3 linked regions of the Xenopus tropicalis genome follow. The protein of the gene in region 3 interacts with the protein of the main gene of each other region in a pairwise test. Links are inferred from orthologs where the notes say so. Each region holds a gene or a part of one and is shown on either strand. Other genes may lie near its edges.

What was found. The genes of interacting proteins can lie anywhere in the genome.
Region 1: the proteins of xrcc4 (region 3) and aplf interact in binary tests that used the Homo sapiens proteins (3 or more experiments, as listed by UniProt). The link is inferred for Xenopus tropicalis from reciprocal best matches to the Homo sapiens genes XRCC4 and APLF.
Region 2: the proteins of xrcc4 (region 3) and aptx interact in binary tests that used the Homo sapiens proteins (3 or more experiments, as listed by UniProt). The link is inferred for Xenopus tropicalis from reciprocal best matches to the Homo sapiens genes XRCC4 and APTX.

What each region holds. Positions count from the first base shown.
Region 1 is NC_030681.2:30,357,089-30,363,159, forward strand, and holds part of aplf (aprataxin and PNK-like factor), read right to left. Parts: intron 4,228-6,071; coding exon 4,061-4,227; intron 392-4,060; coding exon 214-391; intron 1-213. UniProt on the Homo sapiens protein: Histone chaperone involved in single-strand and double-strand DNA break repair.
Region 2 is NC_030677.2:94,456,989-94,463,059, reverse strand, and holds part of aptx (aprataxin), read right to left. Parts: intron 3,521-6,071; 5' UTR 3,516-3,520; coding exon 3,386-3,515; intron 1-3,385. UniProt on the Homo sapiens protein: DNA-binding protein involved in single-strand DNA break repair, double-strand DNA break repair and base excision repair.
Region 3 is NC_030677.2:181,249,288-181,255,933, reverse strand, and holds the start of xrcc4 (DNA repair protein XRCC4), read left to right. Parts: upstream 1-2,311; 5' UTR 2,312-2,343; intron 2,344-6,646.

The DNA of each region.
Region 1 (6,071 bases), on a different chromosome or scaffold from region 3:
TTGCATATAGATACCCAACATTTTTAGCCTCCCCAAACAAAAAAATCCCCATCCGCCTATGGGTGTCAGTCAGGTACAGGTAAAATTACTTCTTGTACACAATTACACTCTGGACTGTATTTAAAAGAAGTCCATTCAATAACCAGCACATCCTGAATACAAATTTAAATATACAGGTAATATCCTTTATGAAATAAATTCATAGTGACTTACCTGACTGTTTAGCAGGGATTTGGTCTTCTCACCTTGAGCATCTGAAGCAGGATTTGGGTAAGGTTTCTTAGCACCCCAGGCTGAGCAAGAAGGTTCCTCATCTCTTGTTTTAGTAGTATCCAAAGAGCAGCTGGGATTATCAGCTATTTCACTCGTCTTGTTGGTGATATGAACATTTCTGTAAAGTATAAGAATAGGTTTATAGATATATAGATACACACACATCCATGTACTATGTACTATTTTACTATGTGTGCATACCAAGAACAGACAGCAGTACCTGCATGTAGGTAACATAGGCATAGAGGAAAGCGGACAATATATTGAACTGTCAGGTCTTAAAAGGATAAGTAAACACCAAAAATGTAATGGAAAATTGGAAAAAAAGTGGTGCTGTTGTTACAAAATTCATTATATTGGCAGTTAATAAAAACTTAAACAGCTCTAAAACAGAAAAAATAATTAATATAAATTGCAAATGTGCTTAGAAAACCACCCTAAGTAGTTTTACATTGCTTATTTAAGGTTTAATTATCCTTTAATAAATCAAAATTTTACCTTTACCTGCTTATTCATTTAATGTTTCAGAGCCATTTGAAGGCCTTCACAAGAAGGGAAGTTTTTATTACGGTACATTTTTAAAAGATATGTGAGTGCAGTATATTGGCTGTTTTGCCACCTGACAAACACATTCATATTTAGTTGTGCGTGCATGATAACATAAAATTAATATTATAATGTATATTACTATATATTATTATAATAAATAATTAAAATAACGTGTAATTTATGCCAGGATTTATTTCCATGGATAGAAGAAAGATAAAATACAATAAATACAATAAATAAGTATAAATACGGAGAGGTTAAGTGCCATGTGGTATGAGACACAGTAGGAAGGAGGTCCCTGCCCCGTAGAGCTTACAATCTAAATGGTTGGGTAACATACAGGAGACAAATTGTACCAGGTATGTGCATTTGCCCTTAAGCGCAGGACTAGACAAAATAATGTTTTAGTGCTCCAGAAGGTAGCATCTGACTTTTATCTTTAAGAGAGTGAGTATTCCCTACGGAGGGATTCAAGGATAGAGTTACAAGGGCTAGTAGGAGATTGCAGTAATCTAAGTGGGAAAGGATACGGCCATTAGTCCATTAACTCCAGCCACAGGCATAAGGAGAAAATGCACTTTTCCACTTTAATTCCATCAAGTCACATAAGTTATTTAAGCAATCAAAAGGAGCTTTACACAAATGCCTCCTAAATAATCAGAGTTGATTCTTTACTTTCTATGAGTTTTACTCAACATGGATATAGAAGGGTTTGTTTATAAAACAGTGAAAACCACAGAACAGAATTATATTATTTTCTGCTGCCCTTTATAAAGCCTTGTAAAATCTAGAAAAACTGTGCTTCTCCTATTAGCTATTTTTCTTAAATCCTGTTTCCCATTCATCTCTTATCACCAGGGTCACTGCAACAGGGAATGTTCAAACCATAATTATCCTATAAGACTATTAGGTAGTTCAATTTATTAGAAAAAATATTAAAAAAAAAATCATGCATTTCTATGAACACCAATTATTATCCAGCAACTTGCTTACAGCCATCCTTGTGGGGCCTGGAAAAATATAGCTTTAGTAGAAAGACAAATAACAATCAGGCTGCAGGTGAAGGTTGAGACTATAATTCATGACTCATTTGTGAACAGCAAAAGCAAATTTAAAAGACATTGACAGAACCATCACCTGCCATCAGAGTGCTGTCAAGCCAAATTAGCTCTGTCACAACAGCCTTGAAACTCATGACCCAAAAGTAATAGCACGTTAGTTTAGACAACAGTAACGCCAAAGCAGACACATCATCAATCGACAAGCCTGGTGTTCTGGAAAAATAATTTAAGACGAAGTGCACTGAATCACGCACTTTCAACCAAAATTTTCTAAAATGATAAAAGTATACTATCATGGTAGCAAGCTGGAATTATATATTCCCATAAAATCAAGGTAATAAGGGGCTATTTAATTATTGTAAAAAAAACTTTTTTTTAAATGTGATGTTGGTTTTTAACATTAAAGTTATACAGTTAGAAGTCAGTTTGACTTTCACACGTGAAAAAGTTTTTTGATTAACTTTTGTTTTTTGAAATGCAAAAAATTAAGCCCCAACTAAACAAGAATAACAATGGCTAATATCAGCAAAACTGGCTGAACCAACAGTTCACAGGTTTATAGGGTTCTGTATTCATTCAAAATATTAAATAAATATAACTACATTTCAAAATATATCTGAACAGCCCTTAGATCATTAAAGAAAAAGTAAACCTTTTAAAATCCCTAAAAAACTCTAAATGACCCCGAAAGTCTCTCCCTACATTGAGTTTCTAAGATAGAAACTGAAACATGCTGCAGAAATCAGTCACTTTCCTTTTATAGGGTGAATCTCTGTTCCCCTTTAGTATGCTGAGCCTTCCTTCTACTTTGAATAGGTCAAGGAGCTGTCGGAACTTCCCACTAGATCGGACATCGGACTCTAAGTAGGGAGGTGTGTCATTTTAGAGGCTGTTTAGAGTCATTTTAGGCATTCTAAAATAAAAATGTGTACTTATTCCATAAAGGGGTGGTTCACGTTTGAGTTACCTTCTAGTGTATTATAGAATTCCCTATTCCTAGCAACTTTGCAATGTGTTATTACTATTTATTATAGTTTTTGAAATATTTGCCTTCCTCATCTGCCTCTTTCTAGCTTTCAAATGGGTGTAATTGACCCCAGCAGCTAAAAACTATTACCCTGTTGTTAAGCTACAATTTTATTGTTATTGTAACTTTTTTTGTTTATATTTTTATTCAGGCCTTCTTCTACTCATTTTCCGACCTCTCATTCAAACCACTGCCTGGTTTGCTAGGGTAAATCCCTAGTAGCCAGACAGCTACTGAAATACATACACAGACAGACGCCTATTACTTATTACCAGTACAGGTATGGGACCCATTATCCAGAATGCTCGGGACCTGGGGTTTTCCGGATTAGGGGTCTTTCCGTAATTTGGATCGCCAAACTTTAAGTCCAAAATCATTTAAATATTATTAAACCCAATAGGATTGTTTTGCCCCAGTAGGGATTAATGATATTTTAGTTGGGGTCAAGTACAATGTTCTGTTTTATTATTACAAAGAAAAAGGAAATCATTTTTAAAAAGCAAAATTATTTTTTTATAATAGGAGATGGCCTTTCCGTAATTCTGAACTTTCTGGATAACGGCTTTCCAGATAACAGGTCCCATACCTGTACAAGTCACAGTTAAAGCATACTTATTTTTTAAAGGGGTGGTTCACATTTTAATAAACTTTTAGTATGTTATAGAATGCCCTATTTCTAGCAAATCTATGGTTTTTGTTTTCTTGAGGGAAATTGAAGCTACTGCATGTTTGGTCCTTGTGAGGTAGTTTAAATTACCAGAATACTATCCCTAGCTTCCCTCTTTGCTGTGACTGTTTTGTTAGCTAGGGGATTACCTGTGTACTGGTATTCTAATTATTACCACTCAAGGGCCAAACACAGAGTAGCTTTAATTTCCCTGTTTAGCTCAAGAAATAACAAAAAAACAGATTTTTTGTGATTATAACAATAGGCAAAAAGTATGTTCAGCATAAAAACTATTCATTGAACTCAAGGTGAACAAGGGGGTGCATACCCCTTTCTGTACTGTTTACATACCCTACCCCACAACCCCTCCCTTTGCAGCAGATCTTCATTCATATGATCCTTCCTCTGCTAGGAATCTATGTATAAAAAATAGCAACATATATATATATATATTTATATATCACTTGAAATATGTTACTTTACCTTTCAGTACTCTCCTCTGTAGAAGTGTCAGCAATGACTTTGAATGTATATTTATCTGGCAAAAGAGAAAAACAGTCCCCAGAGTGTAACCAATGCCATTTGTCTTTTTCCAAAGGAATAAATGTGTTTCCACCAGGACCTTGATAAAAACAGGGATTCACATGCACCTACAAAAAAAGAAAAATTGCATTTTTGTTATTACAGAAAAGGAGATCAAAGAACAGCAAGTGTTTCAGCAGGGGGGACATCTTTTTTTGCAGTTGAAACCTGTCATTTTTTTGCATTCCACATAACGAAATGAAAAGCACAAAGAATCCATTGAAACTGAAGAAACGTCTCCTAGGGTATAAACTTTTGCTTTACAATTTTAGGCTTTCCAAATACAGTACAGTTATAGTCACTGTTTGACAGCTTTTCCAGACTGATCACAGCAATCTGCATCACTGGAAGGACTACAGCAGCCTAAATCTACAATCATTCACATTAAAGTTACACGTAATAAAAAGAAAAATATAACTATGATATAAAAAAGTTTGAAATATGTTATATGTAATTATGAACAACACATAAATAGGATGGAGGGTAAAAAAAGAATCCCAAAAAACAATTCTATTGTGCTGGTATTGTACACTACTTTTAATCTATATAGGATCTAACCCTGGCCATATACTGAAAGATCAACTTTATCAACCCTATATGCCAACCTTGAAGTGGGCAATATCGGATTGATCCGATCAGATCACATTGACATGATGCAGGCCATCGGAACCAGGACCACATTAATAAGCCTCACTCTTCACCCTGATGAGATTTTTAAACCTGCCCAATCGACATCTGCCCAATTTTCACCAAGATATCGGTCAGACAGACCTGTCTGAGGGCCCCAAACATGGGCTGATAAACTGGCATCTTAAATCGCCCTGTGTATGGCCACCTCAAAATATATCTGTTTAGGACTGTGCTCCAGTGTGTTGGAAGGTACAATGATCAGTGCATTCCATCAGAATTCACAGTTTAAGAAACATTAACCTAGGGAACTGCTTTGCTTTATATTTTTTATCTAGGCCTTAAATACTACCCACAGTTAGCACCTGGGTTTACTTACCAAAAAAGAAAAATCAGAAGGCAACATTTTATCTTACATATATTTTTCCCCAAAATTTCAGCTTAACTGCAGCGATGCATAATTGCAGGGTGCTACAGGAACCCTGGAGCTATCACTTGGTTTGGAGGTGGCAGTAGCTTCAGGGTTTCCATGCATTAATAGGTGCAGCAACACCCATTTCAGAATGGAAAACAGGACAGACTGAGCGCCGCTGAGTGCAACTATAGAGAGAGCACATTTTAATGCAAGTACCTTTTTTTACGCACAGCTGACTGCGGGGAAATTACCTGGACCGCAACTGGACTTGTGGACGTACATGAGCCCTATTGTATTTTACTAGCTTGTTGCTGAAACTGCTATCTCTTAGTTCATTTATAAGCAGAACATTTCACTCCCACGCTACAGGAATGGTAAAGATTACATACTGAAATCATAATGGGTTTGATCACCTGTAAGCTCTCTGTGAAGAGTTCCTTCATGAATGCAATCTCTGAATCTATTGTTCTATCAGCTGGAAGTACTAGGAGTTTTCATCAATCACAATCAACAAGAGCTTGTTTTCCATAACAACAAACTCTGCAGGTCAATTCCTCTATTAGTTGAAAGTTTGAACATCAATCACTTCCTCAATACAGACTCTAAAGTTAAAGGCAATTCATTTTTACACTGCATAGTGGGTTTCTTTTGTGCAATTATTAGGCTGTAAAACTGTAACTATGTAACATTTCCCATAGCTAGAAATAATTAATTTGTTCCCGAGAGAAGCGGCCATTTAATTAGGAACAGCAGGTATTCTACTTTATTACACAATGATCTATTCCAAGAATGTAACATGAAATAAAATTCAAATAACCAAACTTTTTTGGTCTCAATATGTAGATTTGCATGTTAATATAAAAAGCACGG
Region 2 (6,071 bases), about 87 Mb from region 3:
GGGTGAGCCCCTGGAGAAATACGTATTTTCCATGGCATTGTGATCACATTTACCAGGCAAAGCGATCATGTTTTTTAGCCTAAAGTCTTCTGTGTCAGGGGTACTAAGAGAAGGATGGTGTAAGAAAACCAGTACTGGTGCAGCATTGCTTGGTGCATCAAGCACTAGCAGTGTGTAAGAGCAGGAGGTCACACTCCTGTAATGTCACTTTTGACAGTGCACAACCAAGAAGAATGGAAAGCAGGACACAATGCTGGCATTTCTACAGAGTTCAGTTATGGACTAAGCCAGTGCTGTCCAACTTCTGCGGTGCCGAGGGCCGGAATTTCTCTAACATACATGGTGGAGGGCCGCTAATGGAAGCCAGTTTTGACCACTCCCCTTTTTTGAACCACACCCACTTCAAACCACACCCATTTTATCACAATGGTGGTAGTGCAGCAAAAACCCAAATGCGGGGATATCAACCATCATCCATATGTGAAAGAATTATATTATGTCATTTTAAGATATACCCTTAAATCCATATGCCTCCTCCTCCCCTGTGGGTAGCACAGCAACCCCCAGCACATAATTACACACCTTAGGGACCATTTAATGGCTAATTCCAACTGCTAACAAACTCCCAGAACAAACCCCTGCCAGGTTCACCTCTCACTGCCTACCCTATGCTGCCTGTGTGTGCCATACTCTGCCTGCCCTATGCTGCCTGTGTGTGCCATACTCTGCCTACCCTATGCTGCCTGTGTGTGTTCCATACCCTCCCTGCCCTATGCTGCCTGTGTGTGCAATACTCTGCCTGTCCTATGCTGCCTGTGTGTGCCATACTCTGCCTGTCCTATGCTGCCTGTGTGTGCCATACTCTGCCTGCCCTATGCTGCCTGTGTGTTCCATACCCTCCCTGCCCTATGCTGCCTGTGTGTGCCATACTCTGCCTGCCCTATGCTGCCAGTGTGTGCCATACTATGCCTGCCCTATGCTGCCTGTGTGTGCCATACTCTGCCTGCCCTATGCTGCCTGTGTGTTCCATACCCTCCCTGCCCTATGCTGCCTATGTGCCATACTATGCCTACCCTATGCTGTCTGTGTGTGCCATATACACAGGCAGCATAGTCCAGGCACTACATACAATGTCTGAGGTGTGAACAGGTGAACAATGTGGGTGATTACAGCCTGAGCCTGAGGTGTGAACACTGCAGGGGGTGAACAATGCAGAAACTGAAAGGTGTGAAAAACACAGGGGATTACATATTTAAACAATACAGAGGGATTACAGCCTGAATCTGAGGTGTGAACCATGCAGGGGGCCAGTTAATCTGAGTACTGATACCATTTAAAGTTTACACAAAGGTAAACCATCAAAGCAGCCAGTTGGACAGCACTGGACTAAGCTATATATTACTCTCCATTTGAGCAGCTAAGGGTCTTTACTGTGTGTATATATGTATATGTATATATATATATATATATGTATATATATATATACAAATAAAAAGTGTCGGCACTCACAGGATTCCCACGATAGTATTCATGGACGAAAAGTCGTAGTTAGATGCAATAAGGTGAGGTTTTATTGATCCAACGTTTCGGTTCTTTACTGACGTCTTTACTGACGTATTCATGGACTTTTCGTCCATGAATACTATCGTGAGAATCCTGTGAGTGCTGACACTTTTTATTTGTATTTCAATTTTGCTGCTCGGGCACCCAGGTATCGCTATTTAATTTTGGTGTGCTCTTCACTCTGTATTTTGTGTATATATATATATATATATATATAGGGCTGTGACTCTCTTGTTACACTACCAAAAACAGCAACAATATCATTAATAGCCAATGGTCAGTGAGAGGTGAATAAGTAAGTTTGGTACTGTCTTCTGTCACTGTAAATAATAGAAATACTGATACAAACTGAGCAATGGCTGAAAATTCTGATGAACACAGAGAATTAGCACATCCGAGATCCATTGTTGCAAAAGTCAGCCTTCACAAAGTGGGCGCGCTTAAGAGAGACCTGTCACCCAGACATAAAAGCTGTATAATAAAATTATTTTTACTTTTACTTTCTATTTAGCACTTCCTAGAGGTCACTAAATTCCTCAAATTCTCCCCTCCCTCACTGTCTATACAGGTGTAGCCTGTGCATGGGTATGGGCATCAGGTACCCCATTTTGGTACATAAAACTTATTTTAGAATAATGCAAAGATTGACTCAAAATGGCACCTATATGCTCTATGCTTGGATTCTAAAAGAATGAAGGAAAGAAGATTGAAATTTGTGTCAGTAAAGTTTATTTTGCTAGACATACACAATAGAAAAGAATCTGGAATTATTCCTTACAGTGACAGGTCTCGTTTTAAACCATCAATGCATTTACAAAATTATAACACACTAACTAACCCCTGTTCCGGCAAATAAGAGCTTCAGATGGGGTTTTTTTTTTCCTTCCTCTAGATCAGTGCTGTCCAACAGGCGACTTTAAATGGTATCAGTACTGGCCCCCTGCATGGTTCACAACTCAGATTCAGGCTGTAATCCCCCTGTATTGTTTAATCATGTAATCCCCTGTGTTGTTCACACCTTTTAATCCCTACATTGTTCACCCCCAGCAGTGTTCACACCTCAGGCTCAGGCTGTAATCACCCACATTGTTCACCTGTTCACACCTCAGACAGACTGTAGGAGCAGTAGAAACCCACAAACACACCCTGCACACTATAAAAAGAACATAAACTGAGGTGGCACTGCAATTAAAAAGTTTTTTAATATATAGTTATTGTGCAGACTGTAGGAGCAGTGCCAGCATTGTGTCACTGTATGCTGCCTGTGTGTGCCATACTCTGCCTGCCCTATGCTGCCTGTGTGTGCCATACACACAGGCAGCATAGGACAGGCAGAGTATAGCACACACAGGCAGGGTAGGGCAGGCAGAGTATGGCACACACAGGCAGGGTAGGGCAGGCAGAGTATGGCACACACAGGCAGGGTAGGGAAGGCAGAGTATGGCAGGTTTTTGCTGTACTACCACCATTAATATGGGTATGGTCATGCGATAACATGGGTGTGGTTTCAAGTGGGTGTGGTTTTAAAAAGGGGAGTGGTCAAAACTAGCTTCCATTACTGGCCCTCCACCACGGAGGCTGGAAAAATTCCGGCCCTCGGTACCACAGAAGTTGGACAGCACTGCTCTAGATCAACTAGCAGTTAGGCAGGTTATATATAGGCATTATGGTTGAACGTGATGGACGTTTGTCTTTTTTCAATGTTTTTTTTTATGTTACATTTTACAGACACAGTGAAATATACCTTGCATGTAAAAAAAACAGGTATGCAGTTATACTGCTAGTATAATCCAGTTGAATTAATGTGTGTAGTCTGAATTACCTTGATGTCTAGAGCACTTCTTGTCAGTTATCTGTGTCTCAGGCCCTCGGCCAATTACCACAGTCTCTGCATGAGGCAGCCTTATTCGACCATGTTTTCCATCCTTACTTACCAGCCAACATTCAATCATTGTTCCTGTTAAAACAGGGCAAGACAAAAACAGTTATATCTGAGACTGGCTGGCCAGCAGATTAAAGGAAAACAAGTTTTGCTTTAACAAGGATGCTTTTTACTTTATTTTTGCATGATAAAACTGCAGACAGAGACAAAAATCCTCTTTAAAAAGGCAAACTAGACTAGATTGCTTTATGTTGGTTGAAAGGTGACTTTCTACTATTCTTTGTAATTTTTGGAAGGGGACACAGTTTCATATAACACCTGTGGCAGTTTTGGACAAAGTAAACTCATTTTGGTAAGTCTAGTATAAATAAATTTAAAGCGATTGGACTTGTTTGGTAATCATTGAAGACGTTTCACTACTCATCCGAGCAGCTTCTTCAGTTCAACTGACTGGTATGGGAAGTCCTCAGCATATATACTCTTCCACTAATCCAATCACAATGGCACATTGTAACTCTTCAGAAAGGTGACATCTGAAACTCACAGAGGTGTGAATGCTGTGGAGTTACTTTGAAAGGATTACCAAAGTATCACGCAACTCTTCAAAGCAGGTGTTACTTGTTAGAGTTGCATGAATGGATATGTGAAGAGTTCTGAAACTGCCGGGGTACAGATGTTAGAACAGCATTGTATGTAGCAGACAGATGGTGTCGAAGTCCTCCGCCTCTGTTTAGGGATGGTTTCTCTACTTTGACATGAATGGCCTCTTTTACACCTCTTTCAAACCAGCGGTCTTCTTTGTCCAAAATTTGGACGTTGCTATTTTCAAAGGAGTGTCCATTGTCTTTTAGGTGTAGAAATACAGCAGTGTCCTGGCCTGTAGTGTTCACCCTCCTATGCTGAGCCATTCGCTTGGAGAGCAGTTGCTTTGTTTCACCAATGTAAAGGTCTGTGCACTCCTCGCTACACTGGACTGCGTATACAACATTGCTTTGTTTTTGCTTTGGTGTTGGATCCTTTGGGTGTACAGTGTGTTGCTAGGTTTGAAAAACACAGGGATGTGGTGTTTGCTGAAAATTCTCCTGAGTTTCTCCGACACTCCTGCTACATATGGGATGACTATATTGCGCCTTCTCTCTGCCTCAGGACAGTTATTCCTTTTGGTGTTCCTGTTGGGCGGGGGACTTCAACACCATCTGTCTGCTACATACAATGCTGTTCTAACATCTGTACCCCGGCAGTTTCAGAACTCTTCACACATCCATTCATGCAACTCTAACAAGTAACACCTGCTTTGAAGAGTTGCATGATACTTTGGTAATCCTTTCAAAGTAACTCCACAGCATTCACACCTCTGTGAGTTTCAGATGTCACCTTTCTGAAGAGTTACAAAGTGCCATTGTGATTGGATTAGTGGAAGAGTATATATGCTGAGGACTTCCCATACGAGTCAGTTGAACTGAAGAAGCTGCTCGGATGAGTAGTGAAACGTCTTCAATGATTACCAAACAAGTCCAGTAGCTTTAAATTTATTTATACTAGATATACCATGACCTGGATGAATGAAAATCTTCATAGACTAATTTTGGTAAGGTGAGTCAAAGGGGCAGATTTGATATATTTGTAGCTCGTGTTCCAGCATATAGTACAGGTATAGGACCCATTATCCAGAATGCTCGGGACCAAGGGTATTCCGCATAAGGGGTCTTTCCGTAATTTGGATCTCTGTGCCTTAAGTCTACTAAAAAAAATCAATAAAACATGAATTAAACCCAATAGGATTGTTTTGCATCCAGTAAGGATTAATTATATCTTAGTTGGAATCAATTACAAGGTTCTGTTTTATTTCTACATAGAAAAAGGAAATCAGTTTTAAAATTCTGAATTATTTGATTAAAATGGAGTCTATGGGAGACGGGCATTCCGTAATTCGGAGCTTTCTGGATAACGGGTTTCCGGATAAGGGGTCCGATACCTGTAGCAAGAGAACAAAACAGAGATCTTAAAGGCATGGTTCACCTTTAAAGAGATACTGACACCAGAAATTAAACCTTATTTACATCTACCGTAACACTGTCTTTGCATGCTATTTATAATTTTTCTTAAAGGCATTTATGCCATCCCACCGGCAATTTACATTTTCACCGACCGGAGGGATGGCATTTTGGGGAGATTAGTCGAGGGCGACTAGTCTCCCCGTGTGACACAGCCCTAAACCAGTATTGATTTCTGAGGTTACCATTTTATTGTTATTGTTTCTTTGTATTACTTATCTTTCTCTTCAGTCCCTCTCCAGTCTCACAAACCACTGCCTGGTTGCTAAGGTAAACAAGGCTCTAGCAACCAGACAGCTGCTGAAATTCCAAACTGGAGAGCCGAGGAACAAAAAATAACTGAAAAACCACAAAAAAAATAAAAACCAACTGCAAACTGTCTTAAAATATCATTGTCTATGTCATATTAAAAGAAAATTTAAAGGTAAACAACATCTTTAAATTTGACTCAAAATTCCCTGAATTTCTTGCTTAATTGTTTTAGCAGAAATAAAGAATTGTGTACAGGGGATGGTTGTAAATCGTACATTCTCTGAATGAAGTAGGGTTCTCCACAGGGTTCTGTATTGGGT
Region 3 (6,646 bases):
ATAGTTGATGCATCTACTGATACTTTTCCGGCATCGCCATATCGCCTTTGTTCAAATGACAGGAAGCCAAGTTTTTTTACAGGTATTTTCTTTCTACTAAAGCATTCAAAATAACAAATGGTTTTCAGGATAGGGAAATTATTGGGGGAGGGTAGAATAGATTTTTTAGTTAAAAATTTATTAATAATAATTTTCCTTTAAAGCAGTGTTTCTTTATACTTCTGTTCTCTGGGTCTGACTTTTACTACGAAGCTCACATTAGCACATTGATGTGGTACCAACAGCCTGCATAACCCTTTTATGATCCAGGAGCCAGACAATCAGATCAGTACACTTTGACTGTGCGCACTGTCGGCTAAATTAGGCAAACATTTGTTTGGCAACCTCACCATCAAGCGGATCTCAACATGAATGGCCCGCTTAACAAGAGTCAGAACAACTTCACATCTTTTAATGAGTTGTTAGCTGGATTGCAAGATTGTTTCACGTGTGTGTAGAGAATACAAACAGATAAATACTAGTTTAGAAATAACAACTTAGATTGTAAGCACTAGGGGCAGGGACCTCCTTTCTACTGTGTCTCACACCACATGACACAATCTCTGTGTATTTATACTTATTTATTGTATTTATTATAACACTTGTCCTCCCTGTGTGTATCTGAGTTTATTGTAGGATTGTACAGCACTGCGGTTCTGCCATGGATGATCCCTGTTTCTCAGTGAGAAGGCCACTGTATTCTTCACGATTTATATGATATCTGCTGTGTAAACTTTTGCTTTTTTTCCCTATTCAGCTTGAAAGGTTAGCCCCATGGATACACAGCAACTTATTTATATCAACTGTAGTTATGAAGCAAAAACACACCTTTTTATTAGTGCAGAGTAAAGGCCCCCATACACGGGCCGACTATAGCTGCCGATATCAGTCCCTTGGACCGATTCGGCAGCTAATCGGCCCGTGTATGGGCAGAACAGAGCGGCCTGGCAGACCAATATCTGGCCTGAAATTGTCCAGATCTCGATCGGCCAGGTTAGAAAATCCAGTCGGATCGGGGACCGCATCAGCTCGTTGATGCGGTCACCGATCCCACTGCCCCATAACCTCAAATGTAATCCGATCGTTTGGCCCCAGGGCCAAACGATCGGATTATTTTTTTTTTAAGTCCCTTGCTACCCGATATCGCCCACCCGTAGGTGGGGATATCGGGTGAAGATCCGCTCGCTTGGCGACATCGCCATCACCCAAAAGCTTTTTCGCTGTGCATGCACTGGCCAGGGGCAACAGAAGCAAGAAGGTACGGATTAAATAATTGTGACATGATGCTCATACAGAAGTACCCCAGGCTGCTGCAATCTTCTGCCATCACCAGTACTGGCCCTGGGTATCAGGTAACATATGGAGCCACCAGTGACTCTAACTTTTTTTTTTGTTTTAAAAAGGAGCCACACCCAAAAAAAGTTAAATAAAAATTAATGAAAGAAACAGCACCTTACTAATACACATTGAATATTTTCATTGGTTTTAAAGTTATTTGTAAATGTAATGCTCAATTCAAGCTGTCTGGCTGTACTGACTCCCGAAACAAGAGAAAAGATAGGGCTAAAACAAATCCTGCTTCAATTGCACTTACACTTACAATTAACTTTAAAACAACTGCAAAACTGTTGTCAATTGTACATTGGGACGTCTCTCAGAATGACACTTTCATTACAAATTGTTTTGGTTGAAAAATGATTTATTATAGAATACACATATTCGGCTACTACAGGCAAGATGCTGCCAGGCATGCTGCACTTACACAGCCCGCTAAGGCTCAGCACCATAGGGACCTCCATGCAACGCTAGCCACCCGTCCTCCAATTGCTTGAGCTATAATTTTACATTACAAGAACAACCCTTGAGCATATAGAGCGCTGCCCAGGGCTCTAATGTGCAACCTACAGGTATTTAGCGGAGGTTCTCCCACTGATACCCAGGGACCCCAAACAAAACACACAACCGAAGCTACGGAGCGCAGCTGGAACTAAACAATCCCACCGGCTGAAGATACTACACCCTAAATAACATCGGCTTTTCAGCAAAACTCACCATAGTGTTTCCTTCTCAGCCACATCACACTTCCTGCAGAAAACGTCACCTCCGCTCGTCACTGATTGGACGATCGGCCGCCCTTCATTCTTCCCGCTAGCTCCGAACTACGTTATGTCACTGATTCTGGATTTCTGTCTGTTGCTAGGGCAGGTGATGTCACTGAGCTACTTTCGCTTCCTATTGGGCAGTTTTATTTTGCAGCTTTTGTAGGAACACGGAAGTTGCGAGGGAATTCCTTTCGTTACAGAGGTAGGAAGCAATGGTGGGCATGACTATCGTAATACTTATTAAAATTAGAATAAAAGCAGTGGCGTATGCACTTATAGTGAAAAATAATAGAGATTTATTAGTGTGGCACACGGCAGTTTCTACTTGGGTGAGCAGCAGTGTGCCATGAACCCTGCAGGTGTTCAAATCAACCAGCTTTCCTTTCTGTGTATGAATTCATTCCCAGAATTCCTTTTGTTTGCTTTCTGTCTATCGGAAATATTATTTTTAATTTAATTATTTTTTACCTCTAGTTTTAATTCCGACCAACTGCATAGAAGCAGCCGTCTCCTGACCATCAGCCAGTTCTCATGACCTATTTTTATGATATGCAGCTTGCTAAAATGCATTCATTAAAAACTGTCAATATGTTTAAAGTCATTTGTAATTAAAAGCTGTGTTTGTTCTTTTCTGCCATGCCTTTTCACTGGTCTTTCATTCAGCTGGATTCTGCAACATTGTTTCAGGAGTCCAACCAGTAGTACAGAGAATAGTAAGGGACAATCACATTGTCAGTAGCATTTACATTTACAAATAACTTTAAACCCATTTTTCTTAAAGGGGAACAACGCCTTCCAAACCAATTTGTTAAAGAGCCCCAAACAAGACAGAAACCCCTGTAATCTGTTCCTTCGAAAATTATTAATAAATACAATTTTTAACTGCTGAAATTCAGCTGCAAAACAGTTTTTATCTTTACATCATTTGAAATCCTGGCAGGGGAGGAGGGACTAAAGCACTGATGTTACAAATTGCATTGCACTGTGAAGTTGCTTTTCTTATTGACATCACATGTGCATGGGATTGTGGGATTTCGAGAGTGCAGGCTGAAGGCAGGCTTTGGACAGTCGACTACTGTTACATTTTTCTCAAAGTAGTCAGCCAGGAGAACAGGGGGCGAGGCTTAGGTAACTGTTACAAACAATAGTATTACATTAAAATGTAAAAAAACATTTTTTATTATTTCTGGGTTTCACCCCTTTTAACTTTTAGCATGTTTAATGCCATCTTGCTGTTTAAATATAGTGGGCCAGTAATTCCCTATACCACATATTTCTGGGCCAGGTTATAATGATGATGGGGGTCAGTGGAAGTTTTTAGTAACATAGGGGCCATAAAGATCTCTTGGAGAGCCACATCTGGCCTGTGGGGTTCTAGTTGGACAGCCCAGCCTTTGACAGTGATACTCTGACAAGGGGTAAAAAAAACATCTTATAAAAAACTGTAGACTGTTGTGGATGCTTAATACTTTTACAAATGTATCCAGTGTAATATTGGTATGGACAGTACCAGTGAATGAGTTTAGAAGAGTTGTTAAGGGAAAACACAACAGAAATGTGTCTTCTTTAAACAAAGTAACATACAAAGTAATATATAAATAAAACGAGGGCTGTGGAGTCGGTAGATAAATTCTCCGACTCCGACTCCTCAGTTTCTGATACTTCCGACTCCGACTCTGTTTTTAATATGCTAATGTATTTTATACATTCATACAGTCAATGAAAAGCATGCTTCATGGTCACTCAACGTGTTTGTTTATGCACTGCGTGCATTGGGCTTTATTCTTATAGCAGAGAAGTAATTAATTATGACTGTTTGTGAACTGGGACATTTAAACTTGCTTTATTTTTTTTTTTATTCCCATTTAAATTTAGTAGGAGTCGGTTCTTTTTTTGCCGACTCCGACTCCAGGTACCCAAAATTGCCTCCGACTCCACAGCCCTGAAATAAACGAAATATTTGTTTTACATTATACCAGTTTGTATATATTGCCAGGATTTATAGCATAAATAATAAAAACTAGCCAGCCTACCTAAAAAATTAAAATAACTGGTTGAACGTATCAATAAATAAATGTCTCAAATCCTTATAATAATTATTGTAACAACTGTAAACAAATCAATAATGCCATTTTTTTAAGTACTGTAATGTGTTGCAAATTGGGACTACTGTTGCAACCAACCACCACCAACAACTAATCAGACTAGCTAGGTTACTGCTTAAAGGAGAAGGAAAGTCATTTTGCCATTTTACTGCCAATAGGTTTAACACATTAGTGCCACCTGGAACAATATATTTATTCTGCAGAAAGCATTGCCAGACCTGAGTAAAGAGCCCTAGAAGATTTCTCTGTTTGCTTAAGACAGCAGCTACCATTTTAAATAGCTTCCTGTTTGCAGTCTAGCTGTTATAGCTCAGATCACACATTCCTAAGGGAGGGGGGAAGGAGTTATGAGCATTTTTATGGGAGGGGGGAGGAGGAGAGAACTGCATAGACTCTGGCCATGGGAATTAAGGATTTTTCTGAGAGAGGAAGTCGGACACCAGAACAACATGTTTACAAAAAAGGAGACCAGAAATTCTTTGTTTGATAGAGTGCAAGTGTTTCTGTGAGAGCTTATGGCTGTATTAACATGGACCTTTCTGATAAAGCTTACTTAGTTTTTACCTTTCCTTCCCCTTTAAAGGAACAGTAACACCAAAAAATGAAAGTGTTTTAAAGTAATTAAAATATAATTTACTGTGTGCACTGGCAACACTGGTGTGTTTGCTACAGAAACACTACTATAGTTTATATAAATAAGCTGATGTGTAGCCATGGGGGCAGCTATTGAAGCTGGAAAAATGGAGAAAAGGCACAGGTTACATAGATAACCGATAACAGATAAGACACCGCTGTATTTCACTGTTTATCTGTTAGCCACAATATAACCTGTGCTTTTTCTCCTTTTGAATAGCTGCCCCCATGGCTATACAGCAAGGTATTTATAAAAAAAAAACTCTATTAGTGTTTCAGAAACAAATATACAGCTTTTACCAGTGCAGGGTAGCAGTACATTATAGTTTAATTTTTTGATATAATTTCTTTTTTGGGTATTACTGTTCCTTTATTATATGTACCTAATAAGGAGTAGGGCTACTTTTTGACTTCAGCACAGCTTCAGTTCTTTATGGAATGCTATTATACAAACCCTGGTCTATGTTTAGATGTATGTGACTATTTTTCAAGAAAAAAAAGCACCTGTTTCTTAACATAGAAAGGCTTAACTTAACCCGCTTCCCACCATCCAGTTTGTCACAGTATTTTCAGTACCTTTGAAAAGCTGAACACCATTAATTTTGGTGGAGTATTAGGGCTCAGCAGAGCGGTGCTATTATCAAGTCAGGGATTGATAAATAAAGGCTGAAGGTTTTCCAGTCTGTGTTGGTGAGCTTGACCTGTGACCAGTGTTTCTATTTCTTGCTGATGCAGTTTGTGTGGATCTGCATATATTGATGATCCCTTTTGACATTAAATAATTTCCTTATTATTTGGACCAATACATCTGTATTTTAGGCACTGACTCTTTTGCCTCTTTTGAACTTTTAGTTGTCTTTGAAAACTCAAGTGCTTATAGTTCTTTTTATAGGTGATATATACTACTGGCAGGCAGCCAGGCTTGCTTTCCTTTTGCTTTTCCTTTTCCTGCAGAGGCTTGTTGTTTTTATTTTTGAGTTCTGTTTAAAAAAACATATCTACTAATTTCAATTCTTTAGAATATATATTATTAGAATATATATTGTTTTTGGGTACAATGTAATTATTTGTGCAGAAATTCTTAAACAGTATCTTTTTTGATTATTCAGTTTGGTAGCATAAGGACTAAACTCCATGGGAGATTTTGATCAGATTTTGTGGGTTAAATTTTATCTGATCTTGTCATGCAACAGTACGCGGCAGTGCACAACAGCACGAGATTTTGTAGGATCCTACAAATTCTGATCTCCACAGCTGTAATGTAATGTCGGATCAGATAAAGTTGAATGTTTTCTTATGTTTTTGACAATCAATGTATTTCAATGAGAAAAAAAAGTCTTGCTAAAGTTACATGTAGTTTACACATCAGATTTTTCAGTCCCATTATATTTTGACCCATGCAACTACATCTGACTTGTGAGATGCGTTTTGTCAATCTGACACCATCCGACAAAAGCGCTCATGGAGTTCAGCCCTAAGGATGTGTGTGGTGGAGTCCCTTTGCTCCTTGACCTGTTCAATTGGCATGTCAAGTTGAACCTTTAGATTATTTCATGAGCTTTGTGGCCAGATATAAATGTACTCCATGTTCCTTTTTTTTATATTTTCCCTCTAAATATCAGTTGAGTCCAGACTGTACCAATTATTACGCTTTTGAATGGACTGAGAGTATGGCTATTATTTTACGTAATACAATTTTTTATATCCTATAGGACTTTATGTTACAGTTACTTTTTTATTTTTTTTAGCAAAAGCTCAATAATTTTT